Mus musculus: one gene and its partners. The protein of the gene in region 2 purifies or fractionates together with the protein of the main gene of each other region. This does not show direct contact. Links are inferred from orthologs where the notes say so. Each region holds a gene or a part of one and is shown on either strand. Other genes may lie near its edges.

Region 1 (5,926 bases), on a different chromosome or scaffold from region 2:
GTGCTGTGAGAGAGAGAGAGAGAGAGAGAGAGAGAGAGAGAGAGAGAGAGAGAGAAAGAGAGAGAGAGAGAGGAGTGTGTGTGGTATAAGTATGTGTGTGCAAGTGTACATGTGTGCATGTATGTAGGCATGTGTGCATATGTGTGTGATGAAGCAAACTTTTTTCCAAGTCTAATGACTTCTCCTCTTCTCCATGAATGACTAAAAATATTTTTGTAGCAGTTTTTACGTCTCTACCCTCTAAAAACTTTTTAAAAGGAAGAATAACGTGAAGATAAACAAACCGGTTCATCCATTACCATATCAGCAATAAAAGGAGAATATTCATCAATGTCCCTGAAGCTAAAAAAAAAAAAAAAAAAAGGCCAGGAAGGGACCCCCTTCAGGTGATGAAGAGGAGCAGAGCCTACTGAAGAAGTCATCACAACCTGAGGAATTTGCTGTGGTGCCCACATGGCATACTGCCACACCGTACCACAACCCATTCCTCTTTTTCCACAGTGACTCATTAAGCAAGAGTTCCCTGACAAAGCCACTGCACTGCCCTGGGATCTACAAACTATGTAGGAGGAAGGCTAGCCTCCCTCCTCCCCACAGGGAAATCACTTTCCTCATCCTGAGCCATTCCGAGCAATCTCACAATGGTGACATTTGCTGAACCATGGCTTGAATAAAAGGCTCTCAGTGTGCAGAATGGTAACGTGAGGCACAGGCTAACCCTGGCAGTGCTCTCTGGAAAGGACCCACAGCCTCTCTTTGAAAGGAGAATAAAGAAAGGCACAGCAGGAGAGCTGGGTCCCAGAGAGTCCTGCAGGCAACCTTGACCGCAGCATTCCCAGAACTGACTGAGATGAGGTGCACAAAGGGTTGCTTCAAAGAGTCTTGTACAAAAAAGCTAGCATAAATCCTGCACGTGTCTCTAAACGGCCTTTCTTAATTGCCAGGTAAGCTGGGAACACTCTGTGCTCCAAAGAAAAACAAAAGCAAAAACAAAATACAAGCTCCTTTTCCTTCCCTATTCACTAATGGACCCATCTCCCAGTTTGTTTGTTTTTGTTTCAGTACTCCACAAATCCCAAACCAAAAGAAACTGTAATTTTTCTATCCGTGCTTAATCACAAAGGGCCTAACTTCCCTTTCTTGAAAAGTCCTTTTCCCTTGGAGAACGGAGACCCCTTAGTCTTGCCTAGAAGCAAACGTGAAGCAATAGCCTTGAGCTGGTCATTTTCCCTTTGAAAAGGTGACAGTCGCTGCATCTCAACACTCTGAACCTTTTGTTTTGTGGACAGTTGTCGCCATTTCAAGTTAGATTTCATGATTTTTCTTTGTGGAAAATAGGATCTGTGGCGTTGCCCAGACAAGTCACTAGAATCTTCTCCCCTGCATCGCTGCTCTAAAATCTACAGAAATCTGTTTCTTCAGTTTATCACTTGAGCTACATAACTGCCTTTCTTCCGAACTCATTCACCGAATTGGATTTTTTAGCAAAACCCAATGGTTTCTTGTCCGACTTGCTTATCTTCTAATGCAGTCCACTTTCAGAAAGGCCGAGATCACTGGGCTTGCTTTTGAAATTACCAAAGTAGTTTCCTCTTTCACCCAGAACTTAGGGTGTGGTTTCATGCAGGAAAGAGAGAGAGAGAAAGAAAGAGAGAAAGGGGGAGGGAGGGAAGGAGGGAGGGAGGGAGCTTTTGTCGTCAGGGGTGGGGATGGGGGTAGGGGTGTGTGGATGTGTTTTGTGGCTCTCCCGGGTCTGCAAGAGTTTCTTTCTAAGGAGAACTCTCCACACTTCCCCAACAATCACAAGAACGGTTATTCTCAAAGTTGGTTTAAAACTTCGGACAATGAATGAGCTTAGCGCTCTTGGAGTCTGGAGTCAATCTCAACTAACGGTTTTCCTGAACCGCTAGACGATCTCACCCTCAGGGCTCCATGAGTCATATCCACTGACTCAGCGACCCCACCCCGTCCCCTGGGCTTTACTCCAGAGGCAGTGGCTCCTAATCCTCTCTAGTTGAACTGAGTCCGTTAGATCAGGGGATATGACCACGTCAAACAAGCCCTCTGCAAAGGTCTTGAGCCAGATATCTTGGGCTGTGTGCTTCTCCACCCCCAATCTCGGGCCCTCTTTGTTTCTCTCTCCCCGGCTTCCGATCTGCAGGACTGCTTTTGCAGGCTCTTCCTGCTCCTCCGCTCTCGGATCTCCCCACCCACCCAGTCCCAGAAGACCGCAGATCTGCGACTGCGACCACGCCCCTCCTACCAGCGCGCCTAGTCCCACGCCCCTTTGGCCCAGTGCCAGGGATCGCTTTACTCAACTTTCCAGAGCCCCCCTTCCTTCCCCCATGAATCCTTCCCGCGATCCCTTCTTTCTCAGCACCCAAGGGTGAGTAGAGAGTTCGGGTGATCACCAGGAAAGCCCCTGAAAGGCCTAGCACTTCCAATTAGTAACAGGACTGTGCTTGATACCCTACAGCCCTGGAGGAAGGCTCGAGGGGAGCTCCCTCCCCCACCCCCCTTCCTCACTTCTTTCCGGGTCCCCATTGGCTGGCTCGCTCGGCGGCTAGGATGGCAGTGGGAGGGGACCCTCTTTCCTAACAGTGTTATAAAAGCAGCGCCCTTGGCGTTGTCCAGTCCTCTGCCACTCTTGCTCCGGGACCCCAGAGACCCCAGCGCTCCTACGATTCACAGCCACCGCGCCCTCATTCCCTTGTTGCAGTTTTTCCAGCCGCAGCAAGCCAGCCCACCTTCGAAGCCATGTCTACCAGGTCTGTGTCCTCGTCCTCCTACCGCAGGATGTTCGGTGGCTCCGGCACATCGAGCCGGCCCAGCTCCAACCGGAGCTATGTGACCACGTCCACACGCACCTACAGTCTGGGCAGCGCACTGCGCCCCAGCACTAGCCGCAGCCTCTATTCCTCATCCCCCGGTGGCGCCTATGTGACCCGGTCCTCGGCAGTGCGCCTGCGGAGCAGCGTGCCGGGCGTGCGGCTGCTTCAAGACTCGGTGGACTTCTCGCTGGCCGACGCCATCAACACTGAGTTCAAGAACACCCGCACCAACGAGAAGGTAGAACTGCAGGAGCTGAATGACCGCTTTGCCAACTACATCGACAAGGTGCGCTTCCTCGAGCAGCAGAACAAAATCCTGCTGGCTGAGCTCGAGCAGCTCAAGGGCCAGGGCAAGTCGCGCCTGGGCGACCTGTACGAGGAGGAGATGCGGGAGCTGCGCCGGCAGGTGGATCAGCTCACCAACGACAAGGCCCGTGTCGAGGTGGAGCGGGACAACCTGGCCGAGGACATCATGCGGCTGCGAGAGAAGTAAGGCCTGACCTACGCGAGTGGTGGGGTGTGGGAGGGAGGGGAGTCCTGGGCCTTGCACTGGGGCTGCCACGCCCTTGGGGATGTGGCTGGGGTGGCGGTTGTCTGGAGGATAGCAGAGGAAGCGGGCCCCACCCTGAACCTAAACTTTGCAGTGAACATTTCTCTTTTCGCCTCACTCAAGCACTTCCATTGAACTTTTTAGAAAGTTTCTTAGGTCCTTCTTCTGGGCTTACAGTTACCAGACAGGAGGAAAGAATGGGTGTGAAGGGTTCCAGACAAAGAGATGGCAAAGGCATCTGGGATATTGGGACAGGGGATTGGCTGTAATTGTAAGGGAAGGGCAGTGATTGTCTTTTCCAGTGTGCCCCAACTCCAGCTAACACCTGCAGAGAGCTGCCACCTCGACAAGTTGCAGTAACTACTGTGGGTGGAGGTGTCACAGCAGCTCTGGACTCAAGGCTTGGCGGCATTTGTGGTTGGGTGTGGCCGCCCCGCCCCTGGCGGTTTTCCAGTTCCCCTTTGATTAATGTGCTGCTGCTTCAGATTGCAGGAGGAGATGCTCCAGAGAGAGGAAGCCGAAAGCACCCTGCAGTCATTCAGACAGGTTTGTAGACTTCTTTTTCACATGCAGCCAGCAGCCCAATGGAGCCAACCCGCGAGCGGTTCTAAAAGTTACTTCCCTTAGGTTTTAAAAGGTGCAGAACTTCACGTCTGCTTGTAAAGCCCCCTGGCGGCGGAAAGCGCACAGATTGAAAAACTCCACTATTTAGGGCAGTCTTTGGAACATGAAGGCTTTATTTTCTGCTTCGTTTCCAGATTTTTCTGATCCCCCACACCCCCGAAACATTTCTCCTTTCGTTTTTTGAAACATATCGACATTCGGATATTGAATGGTTACAATTTGATTACATTGTGGATTGTGAAGGTGAAATTGGCTAACTTTCACAAGGTCATAAAAACCACAGTTGCTTCCTCCAGTTGGAAATGTAGAATACTCTGGAGGATGAGAAAGTTTAACTGGAATTAAGCCAAGTTCCCTTTCTTCCTTCGAAGTTCGGCACTGCGTGAAAGTTAGCAGAAGAGTCATTGCACAACCATTTTTGAAATCTAACAAGGGTGAAAAGAAGCCATCTGTTCCCGTAGCTCAAGGGTGTTAAAGGTTTCTATGGGCTTCACTATGGAATGTAGATAGGGACGTTCTGGCAAATGCGGTGGCTCTGGACAGAAAGAATAGGGGCCTTTGTGTTCCCAGAGCAGCTTTGCAACAGGCTACATTCTTATTGAATATGTAATGATGTAACCACAGTTCCAATTGGACACAAGTATTTGCTAACATCCATTATCTTGTGTCTGGGCCAGGCTTGTGAGGTATGCCGTGTACAAAGTTCTTAAAGCTAAAGTCCTCCCTCACATTTGGAAAGGCCCCCTTTTAGGGGGGTTTGTAGACTCATTAGCACCCTCCACAAACAAAATTAAACCCTAAACTGAAGAATGGAGTATTTTATGGAGGGAGGATTTGTTTGTTTGTGTTTGTTCCAGGGTTAGGCATTACCTTAGCATCCCGAAGTGGACAGATGGCCAGTTCAGTCTTGTTTGGAACACTTGTTAGGATCAACAGCCAAACTCTCCAGATGAATGTTCTAAGGTAGCATTCTGAAGGCATTTGCATCCTTAATGGCAGTAGACGAATATGCAGCCCCTTTCAGTCACTGGGCATTTTCAGTCATCACCAAAGGAATGTTTTCTACAAAGCACTGAGTTAATACACACCATCTCTTATTTGTGGACTAAAAATTGTTTCATTCATTCATTTAAATGAAATGACACATTTAGCTGAACTTTTTCGAGAAGGTTAGTCCAATATCATTTATATATTTTTTGATGGCTTAGCAGAAGTCAGAAATGAATGATACTACTATTTAAGTTCTTATATTCTTTTTTAAATTAGTATTTTCTTTGGGACTGATAGAGTAACTCAACATTATAGTTATAAACTATACTGCAAATACAGTTGCTTACAAGGGAAGTTTCCAAACATTTCCTTGAAAGGAAACAACATTTCACATGCAAGATTGAACAGTCTGTCTTAAAATAGATCACTTTATAAAAACTCTGCAGAGAAGTTTAAGTATAGTTTCATTGTAAGTGTTTTGATCTGTCATCCTAAAACAGACAAAGTCATTGAAATAACACTGTGACAGCTGGGACAGGCAGAAATACCCTATAGGCTGAGCCAGGGTGTTTTACACATTAAAAAAATTAGAGAAGGCAAAACAATATAGTTCAGGATTATATTTCTTTTCCTTCTTGCCCGAGGAGCATATCTCTGCAAATGCAAGACCTGGATTTTGAACAATGAATTACTACTTGATACGAGGCTAGCCTGGGAACCTGGATGCCAGATAACTGAGTGCTTATTCTAAATTCCAAAGATAAGCATCTGAAGGTTTGAATACAGGAAACAAAAAAGAGCATGCATATATGTTAACCCTTCTGAGCTCAATTTTAAATGATTTTTAAAAAATATGTAATGTGTTTGTGTCTGTGTGAGTGTATAGGACATTTCTGCAGGCTTGCATGAGGCCAGAAGAGGGCACCTGATG
Region 2 (5,134 bases):
GGACTCAGGTAGCTGCTGGCCAGAGCCACAGTGCTCTGGACACACCCAGAGTGCTCCAAGAAGGGGCATTAGAGACCCTGAGGGCAGTGTGTGTGTGTACATGTGACATGCACATGTCGAGGCCAAAGGTTGGGGCCTGGCCCCTGTCTCCTTCTCTCTCCCTTATGTTTTTAGAAAGGGTCATTCACTGAGCCTGGCGCTCACTGTTTCAGTAAGGCTAGCTGCCCACCAAGGCCCTGGGATCTCTCTCCATCACCCTAGTGCTGAGGTTATAGCTTTGACATGGGTGGTGGGGATCCAAGTAGGTCCTCACTACTCTAACCACTGAGCAATCTCCCCAGCCCTCTGAATATTCTGTACTGCCTTCTTTAGCTCTACTTCAAGAGAGGACTCCCCTCCATCTCATGGGTAAGATAGGCAACAGCCCTCTTACAGTTCCTGGGGTCTTCTCTGTGGCCCCCTTGCAGAACAATACCATCTGTCCTGTAGTTTTTGAACCAGTGAGAGGTAGGAGAGGTAGCCAGATTGTGGCTCAGTGAAAGCTGCCCACACAAACCCCTGGCTTCTCCATCACTGGCAACATGCAGTGAGCATGCAATGAGAAGCCCTGCCTGGGATGTTCTAGAGGATTGCCGGGCTGGAGAGATGGCTCCGTGCTTAAGTGCTCCTCTCTTCTGGATGGCCTGAGTTTGGTTCCCAGCACCCAGGTGGAAACGCACAGCTGCCTCTAACTCCAGCTCCAGAAGATCTGGCGCCCTCTTCTGGCCTCTCCGGGCACCAACACACATAGATAAAAATAAAACAGATCTTTTTTTTTCCAGACCTGAGGAACTGAACCCAGGGCCTTGCGCTCTACCACTGAGCTAAATCCCCAACCCCAAAACAAATCTTTTTAAAAATTAAACTTAAAATAATTAAATGTGTCACTAGAAAGCTTTCTTAGGAACTCCAGGAGCCTTTCTCTCCCAAGGTCCATTTGTTAGATTATTGGCATTACAAACTCAAATGTAAGACTCCTAGAATATAAAGACCCTTGGGGACCATTTTGCCAAGGATGAAGTCTCTGAGCTGTATCTAGTCTAGTTCATCCTTACCTTGGTGGTAGCGTCTGGAGGGGATCTGGGAGGGGCTGTCAGGAGTACAGGCCGACTGCACCGCTCACCTTGGCCGCCTCTCTGCAGATGGCTGTCCCTGGCTAGTGATCTCAGACTTTGGCTGCTGCCTGGCTGACCAGCATGTTGGCCTGCGGCTGCCTTTCAACAGCTCCAGTGTAGAGCGTGGTGGCAATGGCTCCCTGATGGCCCCTGAGGTGAGTCCTGCCTGCTGTGTTTGTGTCCTGCCAGCAGGGGGCATTTCCTAAACGTTCCCAATAAGCGACTGCCCCCACTTTCACTGGGCTGGCCTGAGGTCCCCGGGAGGTCTGTCTGCATCAATGGGTGGCTGTGGCAGATGTCTCCCGGCTTCATGCCTCCCTGTGATGCATTTACATGCAGGGTTCAGATTTGATCCCAGCTTAGGCTGTGCATGAACACAAAAGATGGGCCCAGTGGGGCCTGACCTCTCTTTCTGCTTCCCGCAGGTGTCCACAGCCCATTCTGGCCCCAGTGCGGTAATTGACTACAGCAAAGCCGATACCTGGGCTGTGGGGGCCATCGCCTATGAAATCTTTGGGCTTGCCAATCCCTTCTATGGCCAAGGCAGTGCCCACCTCGAGAGCCGCAGCTACCAGGAAGCTCAGCTGCCTGAGATGCCTGAGTCGGTGCCTCCAGAGGCAAGACGGCTGGTGAGGTCACTGCTCCAGCGAGAGGCCAGCAAGGTGAGGCTGTTCCCAAGCTCTGGCCTCTGGGTGAGGGCCTCTGCTCATGTCTGAGTCAAGGCTGAGTTTAGGCAAGTTCTACAGTGTTAAACAGAGCCTGTCATATACAGGCAAAGGCCAGCTACAGAACAGGGTAGGTTTGAGAATAAACAGGGCAGGAAGCTGGCCAGTTAGCCCTGAATCAGAGGCCTAGCATCGTAGCCTCTGGGTCCTTTTGGGTCCCTTTCACTCCCTGTTCATGGGGCTTTGGCATGCCGGGCCATGTCACCCGTGCTTCCCAGTCCTCTTGACTTTGGCTATATTGGAGTTGCTTAGAAGGATGGCCTGGCAAGATGGCTCAGCAGGTAAAGGGGCTTGCCACACCTGACAACCGGAGTTCAAAACCTGGGACCCACATGAAGGCAAAAGGAGAGTGCTGACCTCACCAAGTTATCCTCTGACCTCCACACACACATCGGATAGATCCAACAAGAATGAAAAAACCTTAGGGCCGGCGAGATAGCTCGGCGGATAAAGACACTTGCTGCTGAGTTTGATCCCCACGACCCACACAGGAAGGAGAGAGCCAACTCCTGCAGCCTCCCGCCCCCTAGATAAATAAATGTAACTAGAATATTTTGTTTAAAGGAGACTGGCTTGGAAAGAAAAGGATGTGTTTTTGAGAAACATGTAGCAAAGATGCAGCAGTGGAAGGAGTACTCCTCTCAGCCCAGCAGGAGCCCAGAGGCCAGTTGGCCTGAGCCAGACTTGCAAGGGCAGGTCTGGTAAGGGTGGCTCCTTAGAAAACCCTGAGATGGGCCTGGCTTCAGCCTATTGTTCTGCAGCCTCCTCACCCCTCACTGTTCACACCCCTCACTGTTCACACTCTCACTGTTCACACTCCTGTTTATACCTCTCACTATTCACACCCCTCACTGTTCACTCACTCTTCACATCCTACTGTTCACACACCTCATTGTTCACACCCCTTGCTCTTCACACTCATTGTTCACACCCCTTGCTCTTCACACCCTTACTTCATAGCGGCTGCTCAGCAACTACATCAGGTGCAAAGGCTTTTTGCCGCAGTGCTAGAGATCAGAGCAGTGTATGGGACCCCTTCATGACAGAGGTGTCCCAGCAAAGCCAACATGGGCAAGGTCCTGGGCTTGGTTAGGGGGTAGCTGAGGGAAGATAGGAGGAAGAATCAAATTGGGGCAGGCCTGAGATGGCACTCCCTCGGCTGCAGTGTGGACTATGTGCTTTGTGCAGGCATTCTGACGGCCCCTTCCGTTGCTTTGCAGAGACCGTCTGCACGCTTAGCTGCAAATGTGCTGCACTTAAGCCTCTGGGGCGAGCATCTTCTAGCCCTGAAGAACCTGAAATTGGACAAGATGATCGCCTGGCTCTTGCAGCAGTCAGCAGCCACTCTGCTGGCTGACAGGCTGAGAGAGAAGAGCTGCGTGGAGACAAAGCTGCAGATGCTGTTTCTGGCTAACCTGGAGTGTGAGGCTCTCTGCCAGGCAGCCCTCCTCCTCTCTTCCTGGAGGGCAGCCCCATGATGGCTCTGTGCTCCAGTTACTAAAAGACTAAGGGGCATCTGTGTCCTGATGTCATGACAGTATACGAAGGCTGAAGAAGGTGGCTTGGCTGGGTGGGCAGGAGTCAGGGGACAAGCTGGAGTAGAGGGAGGGGCTGGTCAGCCTTGGGCTCAGCAAATGGGAAGAACAGCCTTGAACAGCTCAGGAGGGAGAGAGGCACTACCTGTGCCCGTCCAGTTAGGTTCTTGGGCAGAATTAAGACATCAGGCCAGACCAGGAGTTGGTAAGCTATAGAGGGCCAGACAGGGAATGAAGTAGTTGTAATGACTAACCTATCACTGAGGCAAAGGCCAAGCAAGCACTGCAGTGAGGCCAACACTGAACTTTGCTTGTCGTCAATAAGTTCTGCTCATTTTTCCCAACCACTTAGAAATGCAAAAACATAGGTTTAATTTGTAAGCAGCAACCAGCATGGCTCATAGTCAAATTTACCAATTCCTGGGCTAAATGCATTCTTTATGTCTAACTCTTTAAAGATGCGAGCATTAAAGACAGTCTCCATGCCAAAGATGTGTACACTGGAGCCAAGTGTTCTCCCACCAGAGGAAAATCACGCTCACTCTGCAGACCAGGAAGCGCTCCCCGCCGTGATGGTAGATGTGGACAGGCTGAGGGGGTTAGACCCGTCCTTCCTGTCTCCGAGACCCAAGGGCAGTAGCTGGCAGTTTATGGCCCCCGTCCCTCATGCCAGTAATGGGCTTTATAACAGAGGTGGCCACTATTGCCTGGCATGTGCCCTCTAGGCTGAGGGCAATGCTGTTTATGACCATCCTCCTACGGCAGGGTCTGCAGGGCTGGTGCAAGGCACGGGTGTGTCTGCAGGGCCTGGGAATGCATCCCTCAGAGCCGCTGAGCTGCAGCAGGCACTCGGTGTGGTGTGGGACCTGGGGGTCTTGTGCCAGCCTTTCTTACAGGAGCCATGGAATATTAAATGTGAGTTTACAGCATAGAGCAGAGCACAGTGTGCTGAACTGAGGGTCTTGCATTAGGAATGAGTCTCATGCCCTAACAGAGACAGTTCACATACAGTTTAACAGATGTGGCTGAGCTGTGGCTCATGTGCATGCCTTTGACCCCAGCATGTAGAAGATCTCTCAAGAGTTCAAGGCCAGCCTGGTCTACAGAGTGAGTTCTAAGACAGCCAGGGCCACACAGAGAAACCCTGTCTTGAAACAAAACAAAAACAAAGGAACTAAAAGAACACTGATAGGACCTAGAGCCAGTGAACAGGAACACAAACCTTGTCTTGAAACAAAACAAAAACAAAGGAACTAAAAGAACACTGATAGGACCTAGAGCCAGTGAACAGGAACACAGGGGTTTTCTTTATTTTATGCATATCGTGTTTTGTCTGTACATACGATGTATCACTTAAATACCTGGTCTCCTGGGAGGCCACAAAAGGGCATCAGATCTCCTCAGACTACCATTATAGAAGGTTGTGAGCTGCCATGTGGGTGCTGGGACTTGAACCTGGGTCCTCTGCAGTGCTCTTAACCTAGTCATCTTTCCAGTCCCTCTCGGGTCTCTTCAGCAGCAATTCTTAGGCCAGCTGTCAGTCTAGTTTCCACTACACTGTGGGTGTGTGATCCCCACCTCCATGAGGAGAGATGAGAGGCACGGAGGCTCTGGCACAGTGTCCCTAGGCAGCAGCCCTGCCATCATCAGTGTCATGGGGCCAGGTGACAGGTGAGGGCAGTGGTTCTCTTTATTTTAGAAATGGGGGCGGCTGCACATA
Region 3 (5,892 bases), on a different chromosome or scaffold from region 2:
AGGCGTGCGCCACCACTGCCCGGCCAGACTTTTCCTTTAAAGGCCTGAGCTGGGGAGACGGTTTAGTGCCACCAAGCCTGATGAACTGAATTTGATCAGTGGGATTCACATGGTGGAACAAAACTGACTCCAGAAAGTTGTTTTGATGTTCACATGTGTACAAACACATACAAAATTAATAAAATGTCATTTTAAAAACCTCCTTATTTAGCTGAACATGGTGGTGCACACCTTTAATACTAGCACTTGAGAGGCAGAAGCAGGCGGATCTCTGAGTTTGAGGCCAGCCTGGTCTACAAAGCAAGTCCAGGACAGCTGGTTACACTAAGAATCCCTCTCTGGGGGTAGGGTGTTGGGGAGAACAGAAAAAAAACCCTGACTTATTTATTTTATGTGTATTGTGTCTGCATATATGTCGGTGTGAGTATCAACCCTTCTGGAGCTGCAGTTACAGACAAATGTGAGTTGCTATATGGGTGCTGGGAATTGAACCTGGGTCCTTTGAAAGAGCAGCCAGTGCTCTTAACTACTGAGTGGTCGCTTCAGCCCCTAAGATGTAATTTAAAATTTTATTTATTTACTTATTTATTTAGCCAGGTGGTCCTGCTATATGCCTTTAGTCCCAGCATTTAATCTTCAGAGGCAGAGGCAGTCAGAGCTCTGAGTTCTAGGCTATTCTGGTCTATAGAGTGAGTTCCAGGACAGCCAAGGCTACACAGAGTAATTCTGTCTCAAAACAAACAAACAAACAAACAAACAAATAAATATTTTTTAAAATTTAAGGGCAGATCTGGTGTAGTGGGGCACACCTTTAGCCCCAGCACTGGGGAGAAGAGGTAGAAAGATCTGTTAGTTTGAAGTCAGCCTGGTCTACATAGTGAATTCCAAGACAGCCAGAGCTGTCTTATATACAGTGAGACTCTGGTGGGGGTGGGGGTGGGGTGGGAATTAAGGGCAAACATGATTAAAAAAAACAAATTGTATATTAATGTTTTGTCTGCAAGTATATCTGTCCACCACATGCATGCCTGGTGTAGTCAAAGGCCAAATGGGGACATAATATATATATCCTGGGTTGGACTTACAGATGGGTGTGAGTGGCCATGTAGGTGTTGGGAACAGAATCCGGGTGCTCTGGAAGACCAGCCAGTCTCCAAACTATTGAGCCAACTTTCCAGCCTCAATTTTGACTTTTTTTTTTCCATTTTTTATTAGGTATTTAGCTCATTTACATTTCCAATGCTATACCAAAAGTCCCCCATACCCACCCACCCCCACTCCCCTACCCACCCACTCCCCCTTTTTGGCCCTGGCGTTCCCCTGTACTGGGGCATATAAAGTTTGCGTGTCCAATGGGCCTCTCTTTCCAGTGATGGCCGACTAGGCCATCTTTTGATACATATGCAGCTAGAATCAAGAGCTCCGGGGTACTGGTTAGTTCATAATGTTGTTCCACCTATAGGGTTGCAGATCCCTTTAGCTCCTTGGGTACTTTCTCTAGCTCCTCTATTGGGAGCCCTGTGATCCATCCATTAGCTGGCTGTGAGCATCCACTTCTGTGTTTGCTAGGCCCCGGCATAGTCTCACAAGAGACAGCTACATCTGGGTCCTTTCGATAAAATCTTGCTAGTGTATGCAATGTTGACTTTTTTTTTTTAGAGTGTTGTTTGTATAACAACCCTGACCGTCCCTAAAATTACTCTGTAGGCTAGGCTGGCCTCGATCCGCCGGCCTCTGCCTCCGGAGTACTGGCATAGCGCCACTACCGCCCAGCCAATTTTGACTTTTTGACAGTGTCAATATGTAGCCCTGGCTGGACTAGAACTCCTGGAGAGCCACCTGCTTTTGCCTCTAGCGTACTTGGATTACCGTGGGCCACCACGCCCAACGCGACTAACCTTTTGTTTCTAAAGGATGGTCAGTCTGGTTTCGGCGGGAACTTCCAGAAGGCCTCACCACATACTCCTGGCCCTTTAAAGAAGACCTCCGGTTGCCAATGCCGCCGACTCCCGTTGCTAAGGACGTAACGTCCCGCGCCGACGCTGGGGCGGGGCCGTCCTGCGCGGCGCCCTGGGCGGAAGCGGAAGGGGCGGGGCTCGCCGAGCGGACTCTCTAGCCCTTGTGGGTCCCTGTTCAGCGCCCGGCCGTGTGGAGCCCCGGGAGCCAGTCCGGGCCTCCGAAGCGAAGATGGTGGACTACAGCGTTTGGGATCACATCGAGGTGTCGGACGATGAGGACGAGACGCACCCCAACATAGACACTGCCAGCCTCTTCCGCTGGCGGCACCAGGTGGGGCTGTGCGCGCTCATCCCCTTCCCCCCCACTCCCGGGACCCCCCGCTCTAGAGTTCTGACCTCTTCCCCAGGCCACCTGGCGTGGGGGCGGGGGAGACCTTAGTTATTGACATCTGGAGCCGCCTGCTCCACAATCTAGACTTTTCTCTTTCTTTTCTTTTCTTTTTCTTTTTTTTTTTTTTTGAAACAAAATTTCACTGTGTAACCTTCCCTGGCCTAGAACTTGCTGTGTAGAACAGGCTGGTTTCTAACTCACAGTGATCCTCCTGCCTCTGCCTTCCCAGTACTGGGATTAGAGACATGTGCCTTCATGCAGGGCCGGACTTTTTAATTCCATCCCAGGACTCCTGGCTTCTTCACCGTAATTCTTGACCTGTATCTCCAGGCGTTCTCTCTGTGCTATGGTTCTCTTCTGTTTGTAAGTTTATTTATTGTGTGTGTTCCCGTGTGCACGTGGCACAGCATGCCTATGGTGATCACAGGATAACTTGTAGAAGTTGGGCCTCTCTTTTCACCATGTTGGAACTGGCTGTGGAACTCCAGTCGCCCCACGTTGCCACAAGCACCTTTACACTCTGAGCCATTTTATCAGTTGGTAATACTTTAGTCAGAGTCTTGCCTCTCCCCATCCCCAAGCTGACCCTTGTGTGTAGGGTCCCCACTATCCTGTGCAGAACCTTCTGTTCTTCCTCAGAGTCTGGACCCCAGGTTCTGTTAGGTGATCTCATAGCCCAGCCACGCACCCACTTCATATTGCACGTCTCCCTTCTGCCTCTCCTCACTACTTAGAGTCTGGAGCCACAAAACTTCTGACTATGGCATCTATTTCCCAGGATCTTAGGCATGAATTTCTATTAAAGGCCCAGAGACGACCCCCTCCCCCCCCAACTTCCAAACTAAATGAGCCCTTAATTTAACTGTCAATCTTAGCTTGCAGCTGGGATTCCCCAGTCCAGGATCCCTTTCCCTGGGTTATAGACTTGAGTCCCACATGGGACATACCTGTAGAGCCCCCTTATCCTCTGTATTTGACCTCCATCTCCACTCTTGCCCATCATTCAGTTCCAGTGGCTCTCCTTATTCTCACCTCCTGTAGACTCTTATTTCCTGTTACTCCAGGAAACCCCACCCACCTAACTTCCTGTTAGAACCTCTGCTCCTTCTAGTATAGTAAGTAGACCCTCTCCTTCCCACCTTGGCTCCTATATGAACTGTAGCCATCTTTGAAAATTCACCAAACCAGGAGCCAGATGATGATGACACACATTTTTAATCCTAGCTCTCAGGGGGCAGAGGCAGGCAGGCCTGTGAGTTCAAGGCCAACCTGGTCTACAGAGAGTTCTACAGCTAGCTAGGGCTACACAGAGAAACCCTGTCTGGAGGGATGGGGCCGGGAGTCGGGTAGGATAAAGAGAGGGGGGAGGGGAGGAAGAGAAAGAAAAGACAGCTCACCAACCCAGAAAACCAAGCCTGTCCTGTCCTACCTGCCCGTTCCCTCCAGCTTCATCTGTCTCTCTCCAGGGTTCAGAGCATCCTAGTTAACTCTGGACCTCCCAGATAATGTTCCCACATAACCTTACTTTCTGAGCATGGTAGCACACCTGTAAACTCAGGTCTTAGGAGGAGGACGAGGAAGGAGGATCTGGGATTCAGAGTCAGTCCTCGATATAGGGCAAATTCTAGGCTAGCCTGGACTACATGAGACAATATCAAAAACCAAATGGGCTGGAGTTCAGTTGTATGGCATTGCCTTGGGCTCCATCTCTAGCACTGCTTAAAAACTAGCCATGGTGGGGCAGGCCTGTAGTCTGAGCACTGGGGAGAGGGAAGCAGGAGGGTCAGAAGTTCAAAGTCGTCAGCCACGGTAAGTGTGAGGCTGGCACAGGCTACAGGGGATCCTGTCAACCACCAAGCAAATAAAATACAGTCCTCTGCAGTTTTACATCTCTCCAAAACAGACGCCCCAGATTGAGACCTTAGAACCCCAAGTGTGAGCAAGCCATGCTCTTGCCCCTCCCTTGTGCCATCATTACCTGCAGGCCTGTAGCATACTACCAAGATGTGAGGGTGGCCTGGATGTGTGGTTCAGTGGTAGAGTACTTCTCTAGCGTGCAAGAGGTACTGGGTTCCAACTCTGTCGCAGCAGTAAAGAGACAATGGCCTAACCTGCTCCCCAAATTAAAACTTCTATACCCATATACCTGTGTGTCTTATACTCTTTGTTTAAGTTACATCTTAATTTTTTTGTGTGTGTTAATTCTTATGTATGTGTGCCGAGGTATCCTTGTGGCAGTCAAAGGATAACTTGATAGAGTCCACTTTCTCCTTACATGTGGGTTCTTGGGATCAAACTCAAGTCATCAGGCTTGGTAGCAGGCCTTTTCCCACTGAGTCCTCTCATTGGCCCCTGTGCTTGTTATACTCTCAAGCTGAGGGCAGGTACTTTCCATTTAGGAATTTTGCATCTCACCTTCTTGGGGAAAACTTCTCATTACTCCTAGAAAGTCCTTCCCCATCCTCCCCAAATCCAGCATTCGGCTCCCAGTCCCACCCACACACCTATTCCTTCCAGTTTCCTGGGAAGACCACCTGCCAGGCAGCAGTGTGTGGCAGCAGAGAAGCCCAGTGCCTCGCATAGCATTGTATTAGGAAGCACTGAAGAGCCACACACAGCTGCAGAACCATTCCTGGGAACACCTATTTCTGTTCTCTGAAGGTTTGTCTTCCTGCCGGGTGGGAGGGCCTCTGGTCTGCCGGGTGGGAGGGGCCTCTGGTCTGCTGCCGGGTGGGAGGGGCCTCTGGTCTGCTGCTACAGGCTTTGTTTCCTGTCTTGCTGCCATGGCTGTAATACTGAGGAGGGAAGTGGGGCCTGCTGCCCTAGCACATGTGGGAGGACAGGCAGGCTCTGGTGTACACGCTGACTTTACCGTGTTCTATGTCCATCTGTGAGGGGCTGGATTCCTAAGCGCTGAGCAGACGCTTGACAGCGCACATTTCAGGTCTGTGGCCCTGGTGCGCTCTGACTTGGAGGGCTCTCTGGCTGCTCTAACTTTCCTGAGATGGGAGTAGGACCCGGGTGCTCTGTGCAGTCTGTAAGACTTAGAACCCCAGTGTTTAACAACGGCTTCTCTTGGGATAGTTCCTGCCATCACTGCTTAGGTGCTTGTGATTTCAGAACACATTTGAAGCCAGATGTGACAGTGCATGGCTGTCATCTCAGCACTTGAGCGAGAGAGAGGCAGAAGCTATCCTTTGCCACATAGCAAAGGTGAGCACCTGTGTAAAAATAAACAGCAGGGGCTCTGCAAGGTAGCTCAGTGGGGGAAGGCACCGGTCACCTGAGTTTGATTCCAAGAGAGAAGGGACAACTGCAGGGTGTCCTCTGACCTCCGCATCCACACTATGGCACACATCTGTTCCTGCCACCATGCACACAATAAATTAAAATTTGAAATTAGCCAAGCAGTAGGGACCCTTGATCCCAGCACTGGGAAGCTGTGGTGGATCTCTGTGAGTTCAAGGCCAGCCTGGCCTAGAGAGGGAATTTCAGGACAGCTAGGGCAGAGAAATGTTGTTGTTGTTGTTGTTTTTTAATAAA
Region 4 (5,246 bases), on a different chromosome or scaffold from region 2:
GTAACAAAACCTGATGCCCTCTTTTGGAGTATCTGAGGACAGCTACAGTGTACTTACATATAATAAATAAATCTTTAAAAAAAAAAAGGATGTAGCGGCTGGCCTCAACCCCAGAACCACATAGCTCTAGGTGACCAGATAACTATGTGACATGACAGACCATGTGACAACCCCCACAGGCCAGAAACAAACAGCTGAGCTCTTTCTCCCAACCCCAGCCCTGGTAACCCACCCATTACCACAAAGTCCGTCGTCCCCCGCCCAGGAGAAACCTTGTTTTTCCCAACCCAATAGGAAACTAGACTGCAGAGGCCAGGCCAGTACTATACACGGGCAGAATGTCTAGCCATGACTGCTGGAGGCCATGACACACAAGGTCTCATGATGTGACAACTATACATCTGAACTCCAAGGTTCAGCTGAGTGTGTGGCCCTGAGGCTGGAGAGCACCCAACCAGTGTAGCGGCCTGCCCGTGTTTGTAGTAGGAGCTTAGGGACCCAGCAGGTTCACTCGTGAAAGGACAGCACCCACAGCTTCCACAGTCCCTTCCCAACCACACACCAACTGACCCCGAGTCCCACTGTGGCCTTTCAACCCCCCAGCTCTGGGCCCCTGGTTCAAGTTCTCATCTGTTTACTTCCTACCTTGTCAATATTTACCACCTCCCTTCCCCTGTCCTTTTTTTTTTTTTTTTTTTTTTTTGGTTTTTTCGAGACAGGGTTTCTCTGTGTAGCCCTGGCTGTCCTGGAACTCACTCTGTAGACCAGGCTGACCTCGAACTCAGAAATCCGCCTGCCTCTGCCTCCCAAGTGCTGGGATTAAAGGCGTGCACCACCACGCCCAGCTCCCCTATCCTTTTAAGAGACCACCTTTGGCTGAAAAAATCCAACCAAGCAAAAAAGTATTTACACTACTAACACTGTGTAAATGTTGTTTGCACTGGGCTTGTAGGTCTTCTCGCTACTGTCAAGAGTACATCTCCCCTTTTGTATTATAACCTCCTGATTCTTTCCAGAGTCTTTTTCATTTTCTGTGGTTCATGGCTATCAGGCACCCATCAGGTTTGGCTTTTCCTTGGAAAGCACACTCAGTAGTCAGGCCCTCCACAACGCATATGGGATTTGGCCCCCAGATGACCCTTTGAGATAGTCATATATGGCTTCTGATCCTAAAGACACTAGCAAGACACTCTGTTGGCATGACCAGGACCGCTGTCAGTTTCACATATATAGAGCATCCAGAGGCAGGCACCAAGAAAACCCAGCTGCCAGGAGCTGGTGTTCTGTTAGGCATTTGGCCTTCCCTCAGCAAGGATTCTTCAGCTGTTGTCAGGCCAGTGAGGCTGAAATGCTGGGCCGCCTATTCCTTTGCTCATTTCTGATGCCCACTTCCAGGTGCCTTAGCTTATGTAGCAAAAGGGTCAGGTGCTTCAAGTGCCCGAGATGAAAGCCATCAGCTGGCTGTGTCTCTCAAGAGCCTCTTCCTCCAGTGCTAAGGCCATGGTCTAACTGAACTGCCCTGTCTGTGCTTGGTGTTGGTGCTGGGAATTGAACGCACAGTCTTAACACTCTAACACAGAGCTCCAGCACGGCTCATCCTCAGCTGCTCAACTTAACTGCCAGGCCAGGATGTCCCTACTGCCTCAGAGCTGCCCCTGGGGCAGCATGAGCAGAGATGGCCTTGCCTGCAGCGAGCGGTGGTCACACCTGGTACAAGATGAAGTGGAGACTGGTGGGGCTTGGACACGCTTCATCAGCATTCCTTTGGATACTGACACAGCCTTTGTACAGGTTCCTGTGGCCAACTACTAACACTGCCAACAGGGTAACCAGATGTGGGCAAGCACCTTCTAAACCACACCAGTGTGTCCAACAGCCGGTGCCTAGCATCACAGTATAGAGATGACACCGGCCACCACCTCAGCAGACCGCCACTGTCCTTTGCATGGAGCCTGGCAGAACCCAAAGCACTTGTCCCTACTCTAGCACCTTCTCCGTCTCAGAGAGGCTTGTGAGAAAACAAATCCCAGCACTTGGTAGACCAAGGGAGAATTACACAAGTTCAAGGTCAGCCTGGGCTACAGTGAAGCCTTGTCTAAAGAAAAGAAGAACAAATCACCGGCCTGCTTTCAAGTCTAAACAAATACAACCCACTTGGCTCAGAAAAAGCAGGCTGCTGTTACCCAAAGCTGTGATCAGCTGGCCCATCTGCCAATCTATCTCCCCTACTAGTTCCTTCTGCTTTGTGAAGAAGGCTCAAAGTCAGCCAGGAGCTCAACCTTCAGGCGCCCATCCATTCCAGTCCGCAGCAAAGGCTAATTTTACACAACAAAACCTTGCTGGAGTCGAGCACACATATCTGCCCTGGCCCCTGCACCATGCCAGGAAAGGCTGCCAAAGACTATTTGCACTTTGAGCCACTGTGGTAGTCTGAATAAAATTGGTCCCATAGACCCATAGGGAGTAGCACTATCAGGAGGCATGGCTTTGTTGGAGGAAGTGAGTCACTAGGGTGGGCTTTGAGGGCTCAGAATCTCAAACCAGATGTGGAACTCTCAGCTCCCTCTCTCCAGCACCATGTCTGCCTTGTGCTGCTATGCTTCCTGTCATAACAATAATGGATTAAACCTCTCAAACTGTAAGCCAGCCCCAGTGAAATGCTGTCTTTATAAGAGTTGCTGAGGTCATGGTGTCTCTTCACAGCAATAGAAACCCAAACTAAGACAGTCACCAAGCCACTAGGGTATCTCACAGGATGGCAAGAAAGCTCACTCACCTAGAGGGCTGAGGGCAGCTGCCACACTCTCCCCCACATTCTTCAGGAAATTGACATTGGGATCTTCTGGTGGAGCAGAAGCTGTTTTACAAGAAGAAAGATGACCTCAAATTCTGTGACTGCCACCTACCACAGTCCCAGCACATGGGTTCCAAGGTTCCTATCATCGAGGTAATTCCTGGCTTGGGATTGCCTGACCATACTTGGTACTTCCTCCTGTCCCCTCCCCTCTGCAAGCTTGGTCCCCTAGTGGGTCACATGTTGGGCCTCTCTGGCTCAGTACAGCCCATGTATAAATACTGACCCTGTCCTAGATGTGCTGTTTACTCAAAATCCACAGAGCCCGGCTGGCTGGGCTGGCACATGTCTATAAACTAAGCCTCAAGAGGCTGAGGCAGGAGAATCTCAAGTTTAAGGCCATCTTGGGCTACACAGTGAGTTCTAGGCTCCCCAGGGCCATAGAGAGACTCAAGAGGGAAAAAAAAAATCAAAAGGCAGAAACCCCAAATCTAGAGTGTGGGCCCACCCACTTGTGAGTTCTTTGCTTTCAGGATTTTGAGACAGGATCTTATACCACAGTTGGCTCTGACTTTCTGGTCCTCTAGCCTCTACATGCCGAGGCCTGAGATTACAGTGTACGTGCTGCCACGCCTGGCTTTGGGACCATGGGTTTTTTTGTTTAAAGATTTGAGCACCTATGGCCCTGATATTCCCAAGTTAACCCAAAACAAAAGAAAATACATTCTAGAAATCCAGCCACCTACCCATGCCTCCCAAGGGCGGCCTGGCAGGGGACGGTGGGCCATTTAGGGAAATTAGTGGGCTCAGGCGTTCAGCCACCTGTTTACCCACTTGTAAAAGAGAAATGCTTTGTCTCTTCGGGGTTAAGAGGGTTTGATACCATGGATAAGGATAGAGTGTAGCACAAAAAAGGAACCCCTATGTGTCATGTGTAAGACCCTAGGTTCAACCTCCATTCCCCCAAAAGACAAAAAAAAAAAGGTAAAGGGATGTGTAATGTGCAACTCAGTGTGGGTACTTCTGGACTTTAGGCTATGGGGATGGCTTGGCCAAGGGCCTACCTGAACTAGCTGGCTACTTAAGACACCCAAAAGCTAGTTCAAATACCAGTCTTACCTGACTCAGCTGTAGGGCAAGGGCGGCCATCCCCTGCACGAGGAGGACGTGGGCTCCAGTTCCCCGGTGGGCCCATCTCCCAGCCAGGCCAGCCAAAGTGTCCATGTTTCAGCTTCCGAAGCCAGCGGCTATGAGAGAAGCTCTGGGTAGGAGGAAGCAAGACAGGAGGAGAGTGAGGGGTCAGGGTTTCCAGCTCCCACCACCCTGTATGCCCCCCACGCCCCAGGACGGCAGAGCCCCGGCTCACATCAGAGAGGTGGCCAAAGGGGTTGGGAAAGATGAGCTTGCTGTGTTCCCTGTGCAGGCCCTTCCCCTCGCACACGCTGCACAGGTCGTAGTCTGGGCACACACTGCACTTATAGCGAGTTCCCACCACAGGCCCGTTGCAACCATCACAGATCACATTGGGGTGCACCATGTTTCGGGGTGCCTCCTGAGCACATGGTGGGCGATGTTCCCGCCGGCACTCCTTCTTCTCTGCAGGGAGAGTCAAAGAGTCCATCCAGAACTTAGTTGCTAAGGACAACCGCTTAGGAGGCCAGGACCTCTGTGCCTCTGACAACTCCCAGCCCCGCTACACCCACCCCAAGGCATCACAACTCCGACTCCTGACCCTTCGAGGAAAGCCCCACAGGAAGGAAGCCCCGGATTCAGCCTTTACCTTTAATGTAGATGCGGAAGATGTCATCTTTCACATAGGACATAGCCATTGTCAGCTCCTCATCACTGGAAAAGGCAACCAAGTCCCCATCCTCATCTAGATTGTTCAAGAAATGACACATCAGAGCCAGGGACACAGCTCGGCGGGAGCATGCAAAGGCCTTAGGTTCCATTCCCAGAACTAGAGGCTAAAATGCAGCAGAGGCACCCAGCATCTGCTGCAGTGTACAGAGCCCAGTGGTAAAGGGACATCTACTAAGGCTCTACACTCAACCTGGCTGCTGAGCCAAGCAGCAAGATGGCCGTTCATTCCGATACGGCATGAATATGTACTCCAACCTAGGTCCTAGATTAGTTACATGCAGAAGGCAGAACATATGTCATGTGTATATGTGTATAAGGGTCCAGCTTCCTGCCACTAACCACTGGGCCACCTGTGCCCTCAGGCCACGCCTAACCAGGTGTGGGTCCATCACCTGGGAGATCCCACCCTAGTCCTGATGGCCCAGCCCTTCAAAGGCCTCAGGCTTCAGAAGTAAAGGACGTAAGTCCATCTGTCCCCTCCCTTCAACTAGACAGCTAGAAACCACTACATTCAGGCTCCATCTAAGTTGTTCTTGGGTTTTTTGGTGTTTTTTTGTTTTGTTTTTTGAGACAGGGTTTCTCTGTATAG

The links.
Region 1: the proteins of Pink1 (region 2) and Vim purify together in Homo sapiens (affinity purification with mass spectrometry; 3 studies listed by BioGRID and IntAct, with this or other methods). This does not show direct contact. The link is inferred for Mus musculus from reciprocal best matches to the Homo sapiens genes PINK1 and VIM.
Region 3: the proteins of Pink1 (region 2) and Cdc37 purify together in Homo sapiens (affinity purification with mass spectrometry; 6 studies listed by BioGRID and IntAct, with this or other methods). This does not show direct contact. The link is inferred for Mus musculus from reciprocal best matches to the Homo sapiens genes PINK1 and CDC37.
Region 4: the proteins of Pink1 (region 2) and Sqstm1 purify together in Homo sapiens (affinity purification with mass spectrometry; 3 studies listed by BioGRID and IntAct, with this or other methods). This does not show direct contact. The link is inferred for Mus musculus from reciprocal best matches to the Homo sapiens genes PINK1 and SQSTM1.

Annotation. Positions count from the first base shown.
Region 1 is NC_000068.7:13,571,675-13,577,600, forward strand, and holds the start of Vim (vimentin), read left to right. Parts: upstream 1-2,636; 5' UTR 2,637-2,757; coding exon 2,758-3,320; intron 3,321-3,866; coding exon 3,867-3,927; intron 3,928-5,926. UniProt on the Homo sapiens protein: Vimentins are class-III intermediate filaments found in various non-epithelial cells, especially mesenchymal cells. Vimentin is attached to the nucleus, endoplasmic reticulum, and mitochondria, either laterally or terminally.
Region 2 is NC_000070.6:138,312,179-138,317,312, reverse strand, and holds the end of Pink1 (serine/threonine-protein kinase PINK1, mitochondrial precursor), read left to right. Parts: coding exon 1-8; intron 9-1,112; exon of another isoform or gene 1,113-1,181; coding exon 1,182-1,309; intron 1,310-1,579; coding exon 1,580-1,816; intron 1,817-3,099; coding exon 3,100-3,357; 3' UTR 3,358-3,904; downstream 3,905-5,134. UniProt on the Homo sapiens protein: Serine/threonine-protein kinase which acts as a sensor of mitochondrial damage and protects against mitochondrial dysfunction during cellular stress.
Region 3 is NC_000075.6:21,146,153-21,152,044, reverse strand, and holds the start of Cdc37 (hsp90 co-chaperone Cdc37), read left to right. Parts: upstream 1-2,110; 5' UTR 2,111-2,187; coding exon 2,188-2,289; intron 2,290-5,892. UniProt on the Homo sapiens protein: Co-chaperone that binds to numerous kinases and promotes their interaction with the Hsp90 complex, resulting in stabilization and promotion of their activity. Inhibits HSP90AA1 ATPase activity.
Region 4 is NC_000077.6:50,203,247-50,208,492, forward strand, and holds part of Sqstm1 (sequestosome-1), read right to left. Parts: intron 4,671-5,246; coding exon 4,575-4,670; intron 4,391-4,574; coding exon 4,161-4,390; intron 4,056-4,160; coding exon 3,914-4,055; intron 2,858-3,913; coding exon 2,777-2,857; intron 1-2,776. UniProt on the Homo sapiens protein: Molecular adapter required for selective macroautophagy (aggrephagy) by acting as a bridge between polyubiquitinated proteins and autophagosomes.